Caenorhabditis elegans: one gene and its partners. The protein of the gene in region 3 purifies or fractionates together with the protein of the main gene of each other region. This does not show direct contact. Each region holds a gene or a part of one and is shown on either strand. Other genes may lie near its edges.

Region 1 (6,029 bases), on a different chromosome or scaffold from region 3:
TCTCTCTCTTTTGAGCAACGACTACTTATGCCTGAAGACGCAGAGAAATTGAAGAGAGAATCGATGGGAAGCAGTGGGTTTGAAAATTGTTTGAAGAAACAACAACAAGAAAGGAAAAAGAAAAGAAAAGGGGAGAATGCTAATTTAGCAGCAGAATGCAAGTGGAATGAGCACAGTGAATTGAATATTACATTGTGAAACATGGGTTGAGTACGGAGCTCGTGTTGACTTCTGAAGTGAGTAAGAAGCCAAGCAGTGGAAAGAGCGTGGCGAGACCTTCTAGGGCAAGATGATTGCCGAAAAATTTGCCGATTCTCGAATTTTCCGGCTCCGACAATTTGGTTTAAAATTGGAGATGTACATATTTTGAGGAGGGAAGTAGTCTATACACACCAGAAGTTGGCGGCAAACAATTTTTTTTGGCAAGTCGGCAAATCGGCAAATTGGTGGAATGGGAAATTTCCAGCAAATCGACAAGCTGGCAGATTTGCCGAATTTGGCGTAAAAACGGTAATTGCCGAAAATTTTCGGCAAATTGTGGTTTTGCACATTTTTTTTTGGAAATTTCAGAATTTCAATTTTAATCGGCAAAATTGTACGCATCCTATGAATATTCCTACATCTATTTTGAAAAGTTAGCTAATTCTATGAAAATATCTAAAGAAACGGTAAACCGGCAATTTGCCGATTTGCCGAACGGCAATTGCCGCAAACCCCTGGCACACACACGTTAATGACCCAGAAATGATATTCCAAAAATTTTCAATAACTTCCAAATTTTCAGCTAAAGTTTTGGTAACTTGCCAAATTTAAAAAATAGCGGAATTTCTGAATATTTTCGAGAATGCTGTATTTTTAACTCCTACAATTTTTGGTCGACTTCCAAAATTTATGTAGTAATTGTCACTTTTTGAATAAAAACTTTTTTCAAAGAGTTCTCCATATTTTTCACTATGATTTTTTGCTCATTTTATCACTAAAGGAAAGCTTGAAATAATTTCTCTATTGGTGGCGCCATTAAATTGTTTCAGAAGGGTGGGAGCACGTGGAGTCAAAAAGTCCCATTTTGCTTTGATCTTCGAAAAAATGCGGGAGAAGTGACGCAGACATCTCATTTGATTTCGCATGGTTAGGAGTGTGCTGACGTCACAATTTTTCTGGGAAAATATTCCCGCATTTTTCGTAGATCAAACCGCAATGAGACAGCCTGACACCACGTGTGGGAGTGATTATCTTATCTTCAGGTAATAACAAAAAAAGTTGTAGCTTACTGTTTTTCTTTCAGGGTCCTGACACGACCGAAACTTTTCAAATATCGTACCCCGCCAGTATTTAGATATTTTGATTTAACTGTTAAAACCTTACTTATTTTCAAAATGCGGGTACTGTAGTTGATAAGTTTCGCTCGAGCCAGGACCTCGATGCACAATTTTAGACAAACTACTCGCTGTAAAATTGCAGTTTCCTGTACACGTAGAAAGCTAGAAAAGAACAGGATAAATTGCGGAAAACCACAAGAAGATTCATGAATAGGTGGCAAATGAAGTGTCATCTTGCCTCGGAACAACATGACCTGGTGACCATGAAATTGTATCGGCGACTCTTTAATAGAGGAGTTCTTTGTTTATAAACACACCAGGGTGGCCTCGAAGAGTGCGGTTTGGAATGGTGTAATCCGAACGATGGTTTGCCTCCACTTTTCCCGGAGAAGACAATGATTAATTATCTCGGAGACACAAATCCGCCTCCTCTCCGGATAGCTCGAGCACTTCTTTTCTCGTAATAACGACATCTGCGCCGAACCACCAGCACCACCCGAAGAATGAATGAATAAGTGAGAACGAATTCGAAGAGCAGATGGTGGTGGTCTAAGGATCGGCTCATTTATGACGAGAAAATCGGTTCGATAATGAGCGGATAATCGGCCGAGCAAAGCGTGCGCGGAAAAGAGTAATGACCTGCAAAAAGCTGCGATATGGGATTTTAATTATTTACACAACCACTTGATGCACTTGGCACCTTGATTTAATGATGAGGGAAATTTTTATTAATAATAAATTTATTATTCAATCGGGAAAGTTTTTAACTGAAAAAGTATATAAAATAATGACTGAATAATTGTTAAAAAATCTGAAAGTTTTCTATTCTTCTAAAAAACCTTTGTTTTCATGCCTTTTCAAGATTTTATTTCTGTCGATCCAGCTCGAGCTTTTCCCAAAGAGCTCTTTTTCTTCTAAAAGCACCTACCGTATACACATTCGTCGTCAAATAGTGCGCATTGGGCGCGCACACCGAATATTACGACAAGATGCAGAAATCATCATTTTTGCAATTTTGAAGTTTCAACCGCATTCGAAGTCGCTTTTCTTTCCTTTTTTCTCACTGAAAGTTGAATTTTATTATTTTATTATTCTTATTTTCAGACGAGATGGCTGGTATGCACTTCTTGGTGGGAATTTCCACCGAAAACTACGTGATTTTGGCCGCAGACAAAGCCACTTTCGCTTATGGCGCTATTCTCGCTGACAGCGGTAAGGCTGAGAATCCGGGATGCAAAAAATATTCAAATTTATATTTTAGAAAACGACAAGGAATATAGACTGGGAAAGAAGTTGACAATGATGTGCATCGGAGAGGAAGGAGACGTCGCACAGTTCGGAGACTGGACCAAGAGAAATCTTCAGTTGTACTCGGTCAGAAATGGTTACGAGGTTTCACCATCATGTGCTCATCACTTCGTTCGGCGCAGTATCGCCGAAGGTCTCCGCTCGCAAGATCACTACACTGTCGATGTTCTGATTGGAGGATATGATGACAAGGAGGACAAGGCTTTCCTAGGATCTGTTGATTACTTGGCTAATGGACTCGGGCAACAGGTATTCAGCAATTTATTATCTTTTAGTCAAAATAAAGAATTATTATTCAGCCGTACTTGTTCCGAGGATTCTGCGGACGCTTCTGCTATGCCATTATGGATCGTGAATACAAAAAAGGTAAGTTTTAATTAAGTTTAAATTAATGTTCCCAACTTTACTGAATGATTTTCAGACATGACTGAGGCTGAAGGACTCGCTTTGATGAACAAGTGCATCGGAGAGGCTAAGAGACGTTTCGTCGCCAACATTCCGGGATACAAAGTGGTGATCATCGATAAGAAGGGATACCGCAAATTGGATGATGTTCTTTTCTAAATTTCTGGCCCCGGAATATATTTTTCACCGGTTATTACACTTCTCTCCTGCAACCTTTTTTGTGACTTTTCTCCCAGTTTTCTTCCGTTTTAATTTATTGACACATTCGAATGTATTTTCCATCATATTTTATTCTATCTAAAATTGAGCAATTGAAAAGATAGATAACAATTAAACGACTTGTTTCAGCAGCTGTTTGCGGCGTTCTTCGATGAGTAGACCTCCTCTTTGTTCAGCAGCGTGCTTCATATTCAATAGTGCTTCCCGTGTTTTCTTGGCTTCATCTGGTCTCGTGGAAAACTCATTCGACGACTTCTTATCACTTTTGGAATAGATTTCGTTGATCGCCTTTTTGTATTCATTGAGAATTCGTCCCTTCGCATCAGATGCCATTTTCTCTCTTCTTTCTTTACTCATCGGCGGCACATTCACATACAAAACAGCTCCCTCCTGTTGTGGAGTTACATTAAGAGTTGATTTCTGAAATAAACAAAGGAAAATATGAAAAGGACGGCAAGATGGTACCTGAATCGCCAATTTTGCTGCTTTAATTGCAGATGGATTATCCTGGAAGTTGATCATAATCATAAGTGGAGATTTTAATGTGACTCTGGCAATCATGGACAGTGGCTTATCCTTTCCATTTTCAAGCTTGACCATGACATCTTCATATTGCCGAATATCTACCTGGAAATAATTATTTTACTTTGATCAATTCTTTTAAAAAACTAACTTTAAGAGAAAAATGTCTTGTGAGCTCTTCGACAAGTAATCCTTCAACTCTTTGAATTTCTTTTATTGTTTCCTGGACGACTGCGTTTTCCTCCAAATTCGAGAAAACTGCTGGTGGATTCTGAAATATAACTTTTAATATAAATCTAAATGACTTATTCCAACCTTTTTCTTATTGTCCGCTTTTTTCTTAGCATTTACAACTGCAGAAGTAAAGATTTGAGCTTGTTTTTGAAGGAATTGAGCTCGAGAGGCACCTTGGGCTAATCGAATTACTGCTAAACGAATCATTAAATCTGTAAAAAGTATATTTTTTTAACAAAGTTAATTTTCACTATTATTGAATTTTAAATTGAGAAAATAAAACTGTTTTCACGAGAAATGCACTTTTGATTTAAAAAAATTTTGTAAACCGTCTGTCGTCTCTTCTATAGAGACACTCTCGTCTCAAACACAACGCGGGAATTCAAAACAGGGGTTTTATTTAAAAGTGTCTATTCATTATTCTGAAACAATATGAACTCAAAATTAGGATAATAAGGAAATTTTAAGAGTGACGAAGCAGATAAACTGTCGATTCATCATTTGAATCTCTTCTTGCAGTGGACGCCACATATCTTCTTATCGTCTCACTGAAAATTGTAACATTTCTGAAAGATCGATAGAAACTTGTTTTATATTATGAGAGAACAGGGCCGAGGTCGAGCACAGGGTCTCACCACGATTCACACCGAAAATATTGGTAGGTATTTTGCGCACAGATCAATATTATATCAATGCGAATTATACTAAATACAGCATTTATTTTATTACAGGAAAAGCAAATCCTGAGAATGCGTATTGCACAACTTATTTGACGCGCAAGATATCTCGCAGAGAAAATTACAGTAACTCTTAAAATACCGTACCGTTTGTGTCGATTTACGGGCTCAATTTTTGAAACGAATTTATTTTCGAAAAGTGACAGCGTTATTCCATTTTCCTTCGTTTCTTTGTATTATTTTCTCATTAAAAAATTCTATCGATAAATCAATAATTTCAAATCATTTAAAAAATCGAGCCTGCCGTAAATCGAAACAAGCGCTACAGTAGTCATTCGAATAATTGTAGCTTTCGCTACAAAATATTTTGTGCGTCAAATATATTTCGCAGTACGCACTCTCAGAATTTTTCGTTGTGAATCGTGGCGGGACCCACAGGGAAAAATTAGGAAATTTCAGACCCCTCACTTCCCATCACAAACCTGCTGACACCAGTTGGCAAAACCAATTGATCGTTCCTGAAAATAAAATAATGCGGAAAAATAATCGCAGAAGACGTACTTGACGGCTAATTCAAAAGCTTGTGCGTACTCTTCAGTGGATAATGTCTCTTCAGAAAATGTTGTAATGTTTAGAACTGTCGGTGTCTCAAATGGCTGAAAGATTTGAGAATATGGTTATTCGGAAAAATAGCATGCGCCTTTGAATATGGGTTACTGTAATGGCCCGGAAAATAAAATCGAATGTTATATATTTTTGCATGATTCGAATCTAGACTTCAAAGGAAGAGAACGCAAAAAAAAATCAAGATGCAAGAGCGCCCCGCGGCCAAATGGAAACGCCCATAAACGTTGGGTCTCGTTAGGTAAAGCTATAAATTCAAAAAAAAAAATTGAAAACCTTTCAATTCGCGGTTTTGTGAAACGAGACCCAACGTTTGGAGGAGGAGAACGCTCAATTTCATTGTTTTCTTTTCCTGTGTCTTGATAACAACGAATTGATAACAACGAAAAAAAAATAATAAGAGAAATACATTTAAAGGCGCATACACAAAATATTTATGCATCTCCCTTGAATATTGTCTTCGCGAAAGTGTAACAATAAAAATAAATTTTGTTTAAATTTAGTTTATTCTCCCAAATTTTAACTGAAAATTCAAAAAACATATCCAAAAATGTGTCTTGCCCCGCGTCCAAATTTAAATTTAAATTTCCAAATCACCTCAACATGAACTCTTTTCGGATTCGGAAAATTGATAACAACGAGAAAATAAATCAGTGAAGGTAGAATTAATAGCAGCGAAATATAGATTTTTGTCTTCGTTTCCATATTCTCCGCTGAGAAG
Region 2 (6,582 bases), on a different chromosome or scaffold from region 3:
CTCCATAGAGATTAGTCTAGACTTTATACTACTGATACTATACGTCAAGGAATATGTTTAGAACAGGTTACATCAGGTATATCAAATCATACATGCAAGACGGTTCTTGAAATTTTTAATGATGGTCGATGCAATGAATTCGATGCAAATTATCGGTAAACCCAACATTTTAACGAGACCTTTCCTGGAAATTGTATCTACGGGAAGAAAAGTGTTCTTGATATCTATGTATGTATATATTCCAGAAAATGAATCGGCGGGGAACGTTAATCCTCCGCGGACGCAAATTCTAAGAAAAATATCACCCACATTGTCGAATCTTTTTTACACATTGCATTGTACTTTCTTGGACTTAATCTATTTTTATTCCGTTGCTTGTTTTTATGACACAAAACGCACAACACGTATGGCAAACTGTCTGAAGTGATCGTTTTCTTGACCGGTCTTTGATCGCTAACAAAAATTACTTGCGTAAAATTACATTGTCAGATGTGTCGAGCATTACGAATTTGGAAACTAACATCGAGCATACTGGAAAACAAAAAACATGGTCTGTACAAGAAAAGCTCTATGGAAATGTGTATAGTCAAACTATTGGCAAAAACATCAAGATACTAATAAGCTATGTGAATTACAATTAGAAGAAAACATGAATTAATTCAAAATAATAGAGAATAACAAAATTAATATGATGTGAACATTAAAAAATCTGTCATGCGGAGAAACTAAATTTTTGCAAATTTTCGGCAAGTTCCGTTAGACCGGAAGTGAAATGGATGAATACAGGAAATGATACACGTGTTGAACTCTTCAACTTTTATAAAACATCCGGTTTACAGGTCAAAGAATCTTTACCTACTTTTAACAGGTATGTTTTAAGCCTACACTTATTTAATTTATTAGCTTTCTCAAGTACCAAATTAATTTGAATTTTTTAAACAATATTTGGTTTAAGACATTTTCGATTGAACAAATATTGTGAATTTATCATATGTATGCAAAAATCTAAATCTCTAGAAAACACGGGAAAATTAACCGGATTGAACGTTTCTTTAACAAAGCTAATAATTTATGTGTTATTGTTTTCAAATACAAAAAAACAACTCATTTAAAAACTAGGTGATGAATAAGAAACCAAAAGAAATTTATATTTTTTCAAGTAGTATTCGATTTCTCGCGTCTGGTGTCCACCTCAAAAAAAGCAGATTCGTGTTCAATTTGAAACAAAAAGAAGAAAATCATTCAAGCGAAAATTCAAAATTGAAAACATAAAAAGAGAAACATATATCTAAAACCATGTCAAAGAAAGCTTTTACATGTCATTTTTTAAAACTACTAACGACTAAAAAATTGAAAAGTGACGACACGGCGATAGTGGTTGTTATTCTATTTTTGACGGGTGGAAGACGAAACGAACGAGGACAATTTTGTTGAAGAGAAAAAGGAACGGGCGGTCCGTCGGGAAATGAGTGAATATGAGACGGCTCAGCCACGCCCATTTTCTCTTTATTTATTCTTTGATCCGTCATATTCTTTTTTCAGATATTTTGAGCGGCGATTCTGAAATTTGCAAATTATATTCAATGCCTGATATGCTTGTTTTAAATTTCTGATGCGAATCAACAATGCAAACTCAATTTGAACTATTACACGGTCTTAACTAAGTTTTTGTTCATACAAACGAGGTTTCAGTTACAGAAGTTAAGAAATTCAGCACGATACTTGTAGAAAGTTTTTTAGTGCACCATTGGCAGATTTCTACAGCTCGGTTTGGAAAAGCTGGTAACGTGCCCTTGAAAGCTGTCAAATCAAAAATGAAAACAGCGTCAATTTCAAAAACATTGAACCTTATTCTTGAACTAATTTATAAACTAAAATAGACAATACAACAAGTATGCTGATAATTGGTAAACACGTGTCTAGACTTTAAAATCCCATTAGAAAGGTCGAGTTGTTACCAAGAAGCTTTTAAAGTTTTCCACGCCTCTTGTTTTTGTTAAAATTAAGTTTTGAAGTCAAGCAGAGAAAGGTATAAGTACGCAAAAAAACAATATGACCGTTCCAGTAAGTGAAGATATTTTTATAAAAGTGAGCCAAAATAACCTAACAAGATACATCGATATGTTTCTTTTCAGACTGAAAGTTGAAAGAACGAATGGAAATTCTAGGCACTATTTTGATGAAGCTTGAAAAACGTATAAATCACAGGTGTCTCTTGTCAAAAACGGTTGCTTTACGAGTCATTAAACATTTCCAGGATTGCGTTTATAGGAAAGCGTTTAGAACTGAAAAACTTAAAAACTCTAGGAATTATTCTTTAGTAACATATTTCCTAGTCAATCGAAAAACAAAAGAAGCATCTGACTAAGATTCTGGTCAGATATCTCCCAGTACCGGAAATGAAATCGCTTCTTTTCTCTTCAACTATTCCTAGATTCAGAATCAAATGAAAGTGAATCGAAAAGCAACTCTCCGTGCAACTTCATTTATAAATCAAATTTAGTCAATTGTTGTGCGTGTATAAGAGAGAGTGTGTGAGATGATGGAACAGAAACAAATTACCTACGGATGATGATGGAACAAGAAGGCAAAAGAAAAAACGAGTGAATTCATGGAGGTGGATTGATAGTTTTTAAATAAAATGGAAACCAAAATTTTCTGATAATTTATTTGAAATTAAATTCTCAGTTATGTTTTGAAAAAAAGCAAAAAAAAAAGTTAATGAAAACAAGAAAAATAACACGAGCACTTGATGATGGGTTATACTTGAATTCTGGAATGGAATGTCAAGCAGCACCATTCATACAGTGAAAGTTTTGCGGGGTGGAACGGGGGAATCAGGATTCATGAGCAGTTGGCAGGGGGTTCCTTTGACGATTTATTCCTTGGTGCTGACCTTCCATCCGAGGATAGCCTCTTCTCCGATAGCAGAGACAACTTGGACCAAAACGGATCCCTCGTCCTTCTCATAAGCATCACGGATCTGTTGTCCGAGCTCAGTATCGGGAAGCTTGAGGTCATCCTTTTGCTCGCAGGACTCTGGGTCCATGAGGGAGCAATATCCGTCATCGATGGCCATCAACTGAAAGAACAAGCATATTGAAAATTGAATAAAAATTTAGTGATAGTTTAGCAATATGAAATTTTGGAAAACCTACCAAGTACTCACGACGCTTGACGACTGGAACATCCATGTTGTGGGTGGATGGACAGATATCTTCAAGCTTCTTGCTGGTGAAGATGTCGATGGCGACCATGTGGACCTTAGCGTGACCGTGCTTTCCGGTCTTGGAGGTCGACATTTCGACGATCTACAACTTTCAGATAACTTTTATGGTTACGCAAAGTTGATTTGTCCACATTCTAGAAGCATGGTGCTACGATTGTATGTATACTTTTTTTTTATTCCTCAAATATTTTTTGCAATTTTAAAATGTTAATATTTAAATTAGAACTAAAATTCAAATTAACTGTCTTAGAATTTCCTTCCGGTAAAAGCATGGCGGGGTGTCTCTGATCCGCCTCTTCACTCGCCTCTGAGAATATAAATATCTGGCCTATCTAATGTTTAGACTAACAGTTTTTAGGATTAAATCATATCATCTTATCTGGGTATTTTGTGAGCTAAATAATTTCAGGAGTTTTTTGTTTTGGAATTAATTATCAATTTGGTAAGCTTTCAGTTTTTGTAAAAAACTATGAGTGAATAGTTTATATAACTATATATATAGTTCTTTCATATTTATTGGGTTTTTGTTTGAGAAAAAGTGCTCAGCAGTTTTAAAAAGTTGGCATCACCAAGTTTCAGCCGAAACTTATCCAAGTCATTCATCGCACTTTTTCACAAAACATCTTCTAAGTTTATTTAATTTTTCAACATTTTAAAACAAAGCGAACCTTGCATGGGCGTCCCTTGATCATGACATGCTCGTTCTTACGGAGAGCAGAGCACTGCTTTGGGAATGTGGCAGCAGCTCCAGAGTCTCCGGTGTGGAAGTGCTCGTCGTCGTGATGATCGTCAGACATATTGGTACCCTACAACGCACAAGTTAATTTTTTAAATGATAACAATATTTAAGAATAAATAAAAACCAGAAAAAATATAGTAAAGCGTCAAATACATAGTCCTTAAGAAATGGGGACCTAGATCCAATTTGATAAATCTACTAGTTTTTACAGCCATTTCAAAAAAGTCAGCAAATTGAATGTATCTAAATTGATTTAAACCATAATAACCTAAAAATGATGACAAATAGAAAAAACATCATCAATCAATAATTTATCATATCAACTTAGCATATTGTAGGTAGATACTATATCTAAGACAAAAACCAAGCATTCCCTAATACTTACACAGTTTTGTCTTGAAAATCACAAGAAAACAGTCTGAAACTTTTCAAAAAAAGACTTTCAAAAGTTGCCTAAACAGTTGCGAAGGTCTTACGTAAATACGGTTGAACTCGGTATCCCATCACTGTGTGTGGGTCGCTACGCAGGCAATAACCAACCGCGTGGCCGTCGACGGAGCGTGTATGCACCGGTCTTGCAGGGTTGAGACGGTGGTGTAATGGTGGAGACACTGACAAACATACAATTTTGCAGTTTTGGAGAAAACGGAACATATCGAGACAGAGGAGCGGGAAAATGGAGACAAATAAGAGTTAAGTTGTAGGTTATTGTAGTAGATAAGATAAGAGTTGTAGTAAGTGAGTATACTAAAAAACGGGCATGAAAACAATTTAGATAAGTTTTATTAATTTTAAACATTGAATTAAAATTACATTCATGAGCTGGTTAGTAAATATATTTATTATATATGGTTTACTATATGTACAGTTTACCAATTTGTTCCAGACCTACTAATCTATTGACAACTAGTGTGTCTATTCAATTTGGTAATTATTCAATTTTTCCCTACTTAAAAGTTGAACAAATTTGTTTTTGAATTTATTATAATGTATTAATAATAAAAGCAGAAACAAGTAAGATACAAGTTATTAGACAAGTTATTAGAAGTTATTACACTACAAAAACTATCATAAAATACATTCGTGTAGTTTGAGGGGAAAGGAAGTATATCAAAACATGGTAAGTTAGTTATGGATTGAACCCCCCGACAACCTAAATATTCATGACTTTTACACAACTGTTTTTGTTGCCTCAGCTCCTGCTTAAGTTTTAAAAAAACTTGGATTGAACTGATTATGAGCATTGTAGTCACCAACGAAGATCTCATTAGATGTTGCAGTCTCTACTGAAGCTGCTGAAAAATTTAGATTTATTTAGTTTTAGGATATTTTAGGACATATTTTAGGAAATTGACAAAAACATATTTTCTACGAGCTTTATACTTCAATTGCGTTTTTTTTTTTGGAAAATTTGGCAATTTACCAAAAATTTGAAAAATATTAAATTATCCTATTTAAATTTTCACGTTTTGCTCAACCGCTTCTGGTTCGTTTTTTAAAAATTTATTTCTGTACTTACGATTTCTAAAAATGCCAACTTGTATGAAGACTAATTCACAAAAAGTGATTTTTACAAAAAATGGAGCTGTGGCAACTCGAAAAATTGAAGATCCTACTTCTTTCACTGTGAGTTAGACGGATTTTGAAACGTTTATTTTGCAAACTGAAAATTCAAAAATCAAATGGATTCTTGTTCAGATGTCGTATAATTGTGTGAACAATTATCTTGCTGATGCATCTTGTGATCCTCAAAGAATGACTGTAACATGTTGCCAATCGGAAAATGGAAGGAATTTTGTTTCATTTGCAATCAGTGAAGTTTCTCGTCGAACTGCTACAGAATTAGTCGATTCAAAATATTTTGAAGCTGCGTTCAATTCGGCTGATAATCGGAAATCGCTTCGTAATGCTTGTGAAAAAGCAAAACGATTTTATATGGAGGTACTTCGATCTTTTCAAGATTCAAAGAACAAAGATCAAAGAAAACAATTTTGTAATAATTATCGTATGTCTAATAATTAAAATTGGCAAAAAAGGTCATCTAGATTATACCTGCACGGTGTAGTCAGTTTGGAATTTTATGTGAGTACAGTAAATAGGTTCGGTGCGAGATATCTTACATGTGTACATACTCATATAGTTCCCCAGCTGATAGACCAGAAATTGCGAGAACTTTATATCTTAAAGATGTGCCATGCTTTTCTATTGGTGGCTCATAATAAAGTCGCTCCTTTCTAAAATAAAATACCCGTGCCTCCTGGAAGTCAATTCTTCTGAATACTTAAGCAACGTGCTACTTTGATGTGAATATCTTTTGTAAAAAATAATATTGAGAATGAATAATAGTCTACAGATTAGCTTCCAATTCATGCACGTATCTCTAAATTCTAATTTCCAGCACATTCTCTACCACAATCCATTTCCCCCGAAACAACGTTTCTCGTGTGTTATTGAAAAATCAAAGAAGACAAAGAAAGAGGTATCAAATAAAAGATCTGATGAATTCTTGGTCAGAACCAGAAGAACTACATCAAGTATATCAGTATTGGAAGGTACAATGTCTTTGACTTCAATGTCTTCACATAGTCAACTCTCGACGACAACGCCATCGACT
Region 3 (7,962 bases):
TTGATGATAACTTTGGCTACATTTTTGCCGTTGGAAAATTGTTAGCAATCTCACCCTGGAAAAAGTTATAGCAGCTGACAACTTGCTGGCCCAGTTTTGACTATTTCTATTGGAATCTTCTTAACTCAATAACAGAACGTTTTCATAGAAAACAAAATTTAAAATTGATTGCAATGTTCTAGATTCAGAAATGCCGGTAAAAAATTCAAAATTTTAAATATTTCAGAAAACAGTTTTGGGCCTAGTTCCAAGAATTTAGTAGTTTTTATAATTAACTTTCAAACATTTTTTAACTTATAAATTCACTATGATTTGCAATATATTTCAGTTTCATTTTGAAAAAAAACCACACTTATAGGTTTTTTTAGACTTCAAAATAGGAAGTTTCAACATTGTATTAAAGATAAATTTCACGATCTATTTTCAGCAAGTAAATGACTTCAAAAATAGCAACGACAAAAAAATGGCGGAATGCAACAACATCCGAAATAAGCTCAACAGTCTCAAAAACTATTTGGAAACGCATGATTGTAAACTGAGTCGCGAAGAACGAACACATGAGATAAATCGATTGATAATCCCACCATCAACAGTTCCACCATCACAACCATATCTTCAACATTCGTTGAGAGTTCATCCACCACGTGCTGACTCTGTACCATATTCTATTCGATCAGGACATTCATCTTCATCGTCTGAACAACACTCACCAGTTGAGGACTATAAGCCTTCAATTGATCAATTACTTCTTCCTCCAATCTCATGTATTCAAAATATCAAAGATCGAAATATCAATTCTATGCCACCACCAGCTTTACCGGCAAGCACGAGTGCTGCTGGAATTCATGTTATCACTTCTATCCCGGTTTCGCATGCCAACTCATTACACGGTCGTTCGGAAAACGTTTTCGCAGAACCGGAACGCAAAGTGAGTACATTCATTTTAATTTATTGAATCTTTTACATTACATTTTACTTCAGATTCCAAAAATCGAGTTGGACCAAACACTGACATCATTGACCATGCCAGACGACGTTGAACGTCCGTCAGCTCTTCCGACGCTTTCCAGAATCGTTGAAAATCAGCCGATCACTACTCCCAGCAGGCCTTTCCGTCTCGGGGGGGAATATCAAAATCAAACACCGCAGAGTACAGGGAATGGACTATTCGGAGGCCCACCAGGTAGTTTATTTAATCGGATTGTAGCCAATGAATAAAAATTGTATTTTTTACAATATTGCAATTCTTAATCCTAAATCTGAGTCTCATCGCGAGCAAAACTTTTCAGCTACCGTACCCGAGCTCTTCTAGTTTCTACCAATATTTTCACGTGGTGTCAGTCTGTACCATCACGGGTTGATCTACAAAAAATTCGGGAATTTATTCCCTTAAAAAATGTGACGCCATCACGTTCTTAACCATGCGATACTTGAAGTATGCGTCTAAATTCCCGCGATTCTCGGAGATCAAACCGATATAGGACACTCTGACACCACGTGTATTTTGAGATATCAATATTGCAATAATCATACAAAAATTGGAATATTTTGAAAAAACTCAACGTTAAATATAAAAAATGTTAAAATTGGAACTACAATTGCGAGTACGGTAGCTGGAAAGTTGTTGGCGTGCCAAGACCCAGAAATTTGCATAATTTTAATTCAAATGCCGATATTTCTACAATATACGAAAATTTTCTTAAATTTTTCCAGTTTCATCCCGGGCTAAAAAGTGTTATTTTTATTTCTCAAAATATAATTAACGATTTTCATTCCAGGCCCATTCGACTTGCTTTCCTCCAACACTGGTCTGACACCTTCTGGTCAGCCAACAATGAACTTCGTTTCAACTCCAACCCCGATTCAACCACATCCGGATGCTGATCTCCGACCACTCTAGATTCCGATTCAAATCATTTTCTGTAGCGTGCATTTGTAATTTTCCCCGTCCAGCTCTCATTATTACAAAATTTCATACAATTTCCCGATTTTCTATCCAATTTCCATATCTTTAAATTCAGCCAGTTCTCTCTTTTCTCATTATAGTTTCACTTTTAGCTACTGAAATTCCCCCAACTTTCCGTTTCCAATTATTGTGATAAGAAATACATTCAACTGTAACATCATTTTCTTATTCTTCGAAACCATCAACTTCTTCACTGGTAAATCTTCAAGTCGATTTTCTCCATTTTTTTCTTCTTCAGTTTCATTAAATTCATGAACTTTCCTTACCAACCATCAATCCCAATGTCACATAAACGAATATTTTTCATCATGAATCATTTACCTCAATCAATCCAGATTTAAAATTACATTAAATCGGTTTTTGTGCAACGGGACGTTCAAAAAGGGAATAAAATAAATTGGGAAAGAGAAAATACAAAAAAAATAAATAAAACGGGGCACATTTACAAATAGAGTTCTTCTGGAGCTCCTTCCTTCTTACGGTAGAGCACATTTTCTTTGGACTTCTGGAAATCTTCCATCGTGACACGCATACGACGCTCGCGAAGAGCTAAGAGACCAGCTTCTGTGCACATAGCCTTGATATCAGCTCCACTCAACTCGTCCTTTGCTGTGATGAACTCTTCGAGGTTAACTTCTTTGCCGAGTGTCATTCGAGATGTATGGATCTGAAAATAAAAACTTCATATAATGTTTAGAAAAAATTGTTCCAACCTGGAAGATACGGCGCTTCGTTTTTTCATCTGGCAGGGGGAATTCAATCTTACGATCAATACGACCTGGACGAATGAGAGCAGGGTCGAGAGATTCGATGCGGTTAGTGGCCATCAAAACTTTAACATCTCCACGGGAATCGAATCCATCAAGTTGATTGAGAAGTTCAAGCATAGTCCGCTGAATTTCACGTTCTCCACCAGAGTTCGAATCGTAACGTTTTGTTCCAACAGCATCAATTTCATCAATGAACACAATTGATGGTGCATTCTCCTCAGCAACGCGGAAGAGCTCACGGACCATCTTTGGACCATCTCCGAGGTATTTCTGAATAAGTTCCGAACCAACAATACGAAGGAAAGTAGCTGACGTCTGATTAGCAACAGCCTTGGCAAGTAGCGTTTTTCCAGTACCAGGACAACCGTATAGAATAACTCCCTTTGGAGGCCGGATTCCCATCTCTTCGTAGTATTCAGGATGAGTCAGTGGAAGCTCAACTGCTTCTTTAATTTCTTGAATTTGCTGATCAAGACCACCAACATCGGCATACGTTTCTTGTGGTGCTTTTTCGAGCTTCATGACAGACACCATAGGATCTGTATCATCGGAGAGAACTCCGATGACGGCGTGATTCTTGTGGTTGAGAAGGACTGAACATCCCGGCTCGAGTTGTTCCTTGTCGACGAATGACATGATGTTGACGTAATGCTCACTTCCGACGTTCTAAATATTGAAATAAGAAAATATTATCGATATATTGATTCTTACAGTTGAAACAATGGCGTGCTGATCATCGATAATTTCCTCAAGTGATCCGACTGCCATTGGTGTTCCACGGAGCTCGTCCACCTTGGCGCGCTCTTCTTCTTGTCTCTCCTCTTGTGGCTTCAAACGCTCCTGGTTTTGAATGAATTCTTGCTCCATCAACAAATAATCCTTGATTCTTTCGCTCTTCAGCAACTTCAGACGGCATCTGGCATGTGGTGTGACTAAAACCGAATCATCAGTTAAAATACACACTAGATTGAAACTTACCAGCTGGAAGTTTGCTAGCGGCGTCAGGTCCCTTAGACCCCTTCTTCTTCTTTCCAATCCTAGATGGAATCGGTGCCTCATATTTCTTCTTTTCCTTCTTCTCTCCATCTCCGGCACCGCGGTCATTTCCTCTTCCACCGAAACCTGACTGTTGTTGCCCCATTCTAGAAAATAATGATTTTATATGAAAAATAATAAGTCCACGTTTGAAAAAGAAAACAATTGAAAGATATAAAATAAGTAGAACGAAGAATGATTTAAAAAAATACAGCGTTGATGATGACAATGCAAGCGCGCTCTGGTGAGAACTAAACAACGCGCGGTTTCGTATTTTCGGAGCTTCGTTGTTTTTATTGACGAAGCCACATGTCTGTTTTATTCAGAAAATCTAATTTTTCAATTGATTTTTAAGTATTTTCAGCGTTTTAAAGTTTGCAAACGATTGTTCATACTCTTGTTTTCAGTAAACATGATGCAATACATGCTTCTCTTCAGTCGCCAGGGCAAACTGCGGCTGCAGAAATGGTACACTGCTTACCCCGACAAGGTAAGTGTATTTCCTATTCATATGTGTAATTTCACACTCAATTTTCAGCAAAAGAAGAAAATTTGCCGCGAACTCATCACTCAAATTCTGGCGAGAAAACCGAAAATGTGTGCGTTCCTCGAATACAAGGATTTGAAAGTTGTCTACAAACGGTTCGTATTTTATATTCAAAAGTAACAACTCCCATTTCCTGTCATGCCTTAAAATTGTTCCTTCTGAAAATAACTTACAAGTTTATAATCAAAATTTCTTGAAAATTATAGTTACACACCTAAATCCGAAGTTATTACGTTTTTTATTCATGAAAAATATTTTGGCGTCAAATTTAGTTGTTTAATAGACATTTTTGTGATAAATGAAACAAAAACTTAACAATTCGTTCAATTTTTAATCTCAACAATTTCAGATACGCGTCTCTGTATTTCTGCTGCGCCATCGAACAAAACGACAACGAGCTCATCACTTTGGAAGTCATTCATCGTTACGTAGAACTCCTCGACAAATATTTTGGAAGTGTTTGTGAGCTGGATATCATCTTCAACTTCGAAAAAGCTTACTTCATACTCGACGAATTTTTACTGGCTGGTGAAATCCAGGAAACCAGTAAAAAACAAGTTTTGAAGGCGATTGCTGCCCAAGATCTCATTCAAGAAGAAGAAACTCCACAAGGATTCTTCGAGGATCACGGTTTGGGATAATGAAGATAATAGTAACATAATTTATTGACTTTGAAAGCTTCCGTAAATACCAAATACTTCCACCTTACTTTATTTATCCTGGCTATGTGTCTGGTTGTGATAATATTCATGTGAATAAGAGAAGAAAACATTCATTTTTCAATCTTCCATTATGTATTCTTTCTGTTAGGAAACTTCAATGCATGACTTGCATTATTTCTACACTTTTTTCAATTTTTTCTTTAAAGTTTTGAACTTTCTCAGGTTTCGAAGCGGATGATTATCACAACTCCGAGACGAGGTGAGCTAATGTGAATTTTGCCGAGTTTCCCGCACATGAGTGTAAAACACGAACAGGGGAAAGGTGGATTCAAGGATAATTCAACGGGGGGTAATATGCGAACGTTGGCAGTGTAACATGTCAGTTCGAACGGAATGAATGTAGGAATGATTGGCACCTCTGCCGGAATTGTCATTTGTTAGATTACAAAGCACAATGTTCACCTTCTTGTTGGTGTCGAATTTCAAAATATCATTTATCTGAAATTTCGATAAGTATGATTAAACTAGTCAAAATTGTTTCGATCACTTCCGTTTTCTCAAAGTTTAATCATTTTCGTACAGTAGATGTTTGTGTCCTCTTCATGTTTTCTGCCCAATACTTCTTCCTCTTCCCATCCACTATACTTTGCATTGTTTTTGGTTTTACATTGAACAAGGGCAGTGAAGGCGGAGACAGCGGGAAATGTTTCCGCGCGGATTCACTCATTCTCTCAAGTATCCATCAATTTGCTCCAGCACACACTTGTTCTTTCACCTAGTTTTTGAGTCGTAGTTAATTTTTGATCTAAAATCTTGGCAGAAAGCAGAAGTACGCATCACATTATTTGAATAAGTATTCGCATTTTCAATATTCGCAGTCCATGAGACCCTAGAAATCATAAACAAACCTCGCTATTTTTTTCAGTCTTGAAAATCAGCCAAAGAGTTGGTTCGAAATAACGCTTCCCAGTTGCTTTTAACTTTAGGAAAGAACGATTTCAAGTAATAACAATAAATGTATATAATTCAACGGAACTCCATTTTTCACTTGGTAGATTTAAATTAGCTTTACGTGGTGCATTAAAAATAATCACATGTTGAAAATCGATAATAGTTTTTCCTAATAGCAATGTACAAGTAATTGGTTTTTGTGGGTACGCAGAACTAAACCAGGTTTTGTTCTCGCAAGTTGCGACGAAAGTGTGAATGTTGGCACCCTGCCGTGTTCACTTCTTGTTTCCCGCCAAACGACTTGCAATTTGAGGTCGTACTCTTACTGGCAAACCTTTATTTTGCAATTGATGACAGAACCAAGCATATTTGCAATTACTATAATTCCAGTTCAAAATCGTAACCTTTTTTTTTTAGTTTTTTGGAAGTTTTCACACCTATCAATACTCTAAAAACAGATTAGACACTTAATTTTGCTACACAGCTGCCCAGATGGTGCAACCAGTAAAAGGTGCGAACAGACTGAAACAGTCTTCCTATTGCATATACTTCCCGGAAACGTGACGGTGCCCTCATTTCCTAGTCAGAATACGTCTATTAACCAACGTCAATTATTTATCGTCATATGTGTTCTTCTGCAACGTTATTGTGCACACAATATTGCGCTGAATAAAATAGACGTAATCCTCTCTCTATGTATCTATAAGATCAGATTAGTTGTGTGGGAACCTTTATCGAGATACCATCTCTTTTTCTTTCAGTTTTTACACTGTCTTTTTTTGTCTGTTGTTCCTCATGAAAGTATCGTCTAATCCACCTTTTCCTCTTTCATTCGGGGCATTAACTTCGACACCTAAATCGAACGAGACTATCCATTTTCATTTACTCAAAGTCAATCCCAATTCTACACAAATGCCTCCCACTTTTGTGGTAAATCGTATCTGACAGTTTTCACAGGAAGCCATTCCACGAAACTGGTACTGTACCACATAGTCATCTTTAATTTGTGTCACGTAACATGAGGTACAGGTGGTGGCATACCTTCTGTTCTACGTCTATAAATTTGATGCAACGTTCTTATTAACTACAGATATGCCATTAAATTGGAAAACTAGAAAAAGCATTTAGCTTAACCATTTTACCATGACACCGAAAGTTTGACCGCTTCAAAAATCTCACGTCTAGTTTGTTCCGACTAAAGTTTTAGATTCAATACAAATTAGTACGTCTACTTGGTCTCCAATCCTACCTATTATTTTCATTGTCGTATTGGAATAAGTCGCCAGGTGAAAGTTTCAACTAGCCATGAGTAAATCGTACTATATAATTGTGTGGGCATTCTCTGGCTGTTTCGAAGATTGTCTTTTTTCCTCTTACCTTGACTGATGAGACTTCAGTAGTTTCTTTTTTACGCTTCATATTTCATTTTTCGAAATGCATATTCATTCCGCCGTTGTTGTTGTGCTCATCATCCATCATTCATTCTGCACCTCCACCCGGCTGCGACCGCCATCAACTTCAGCTCCACCCACTTTTGCTCATTTGTCTTCTGTTGCGCTGTGCATCAGTTTTACAATGCGTTTGTCTGTTGTTCCGTGCGGTTTGAAACAACCTTATGTATGAATACAAATCATGATTCATATCAATGATTTGAAGTCTTGCATTTTCAAATTTTCCACTTCCGCCGAAACCTTGTCGTACTTTCTTCTAAATAAGCACCTATCTGCATGCCATTCTGTCCTACTTCTTTCAAATAATCGTTAAGTGCCATTTCGGGTACTTTTCGGTACACCGTTTTTCCGACACAATACATGTTGTCCTTTTCACTTGCTGCTTGCTCGATCTTTTGCGCGCTCATCCTCATGACCTTTCCCATTTCCTCATTTTTTTTCTTCTCTTCTCACTAGTCAGTTAGACTACCAGCTAGGACTATAAATCTCCTAGAAAGGCTGAATACAAAGAAATTGAAAAGAAGGAGGCACTCTCTCCTTTTTTCGTTCGTGCAACCCCATTGTTCCGTTTGTTTGTAAT

What was found.
Region 1: the proteins of rpt-2 (region 3) and pbs-4 fractionate together in Caenorhabditis elegans (co-fractionation; one large-scale study listed by BioGRID). This does not show direct contact.
Region 2: the proteins of rpt-2 (region 3) and iff-2 fractionate together in Caenorhabditis elegans (co-fractionation; one large-scale study listed by BioGRID). This does not show direct contact.

What each region holds. Positions count from the first base shown.
Region 1 is NC_003279.8:3,906,324-3,912,352, forward strand, and holds pbs-4 (Proteasome subunit beta type-2), read left to right. Parts: upstream 1-2,423; 5' UTR 2,424-2,428; coding exon 2,429-2,531; intron 2,532-2,580; coding exon 2,581-2,876; intron 2,877-2,926; coding exon 2,927-2,993; intron 2,994-3,048; coding exon 3,049-3,191; 3' UTR 3,192-3,362; downstream 3,363-6,029. Other genes in the region: mrrf-1 (Ribosome-recycling factor, mitochondrial), read right to left, coding at 3,363-3,671, 3,717-3,878, 3,925-4,044, 4,089-4,214; T20F5.8 (TPA-induced transmembrane protein), read right to left, coding at 4,471-4,555, 5,167-5,202, 5,246-5,340, 5,906-6,029. UniProt on the Caenorhabditis elegans protein: Non-catalytic component of the proteasome, a multicatalytic proteinase complex which is characterized by its ability to cleave peptides with Arg, Phe, Tyr, Leu, and Glu adjacent to the leaving group at neutral or slightly basic pH.
Region 2 is NC_003280.10:8,556,930-8,563,511, forward strand, and holds iff-2 (Eukaryotic translation initiation factor 5A-2), read right to left. Parts: upstream 4,036-6,582; 5' UTR 4,027-4,035; coding exon 3,898-4,026; intron 3,844-3,897; exon of another isoform or gene 3,762-3,843; intron 3,312-3,761; coding exon 3,159-3,311; intron 3,083-3,158; coding exon 2,879-3,082; 3' UTR 2,652-2,878; downstream 1-2,651. Other genes in the region: F54C9.14 (PID domain-containing protein), read left to right, coding at 5,499-5,594, 5,667-5,909, 6,367-6,582. UniProt on the Caenorhabditis elegans protein: Translation factor that promotes translation elongation and termination, particularly upon ribosome stalling at specific amino acid sequence contexts.
Region 3 is NC_003283.11:6,013,792-6,021,753, forward strand, and holds rpt-2 (putative 26S proteasome regulatory subunit 4), read right to left. Parts: upstream 3,879-7,962; 5' UTR 3,878-3,878; coding exon 3,715-3,877; intron 3,669-3,714; coding exon 3,448-3,668; intron 3,403-3,447; coding exon 2,680-3,402; intron 2,634-2,679; coding exon 2,409-2,633; 3' UTR 2,258-2,408; downstream 1-2,257. Other genes in the region: Transcription factor fos-1, read left to right, coding at 428-928, 982-1,183, 1,779-1,900; aps-1 (AP complex subunit sigma), read left to right, coding at 4,184-4,261, 4,310-4,413, 4,668-4,959; picc-1 (PAC-1 interacting and coiled-coil domain-containing protein 1), read left to right, coding at 5,215-5,239. UniProt on the Caenorhabditis elegans protein: The 26S proteasome is involved in the ATP-dependent degradation of ubiquitinated proteins. The regulatory (or ATPase) complex confers ATP dependency and substrate specificity to the 26S complex.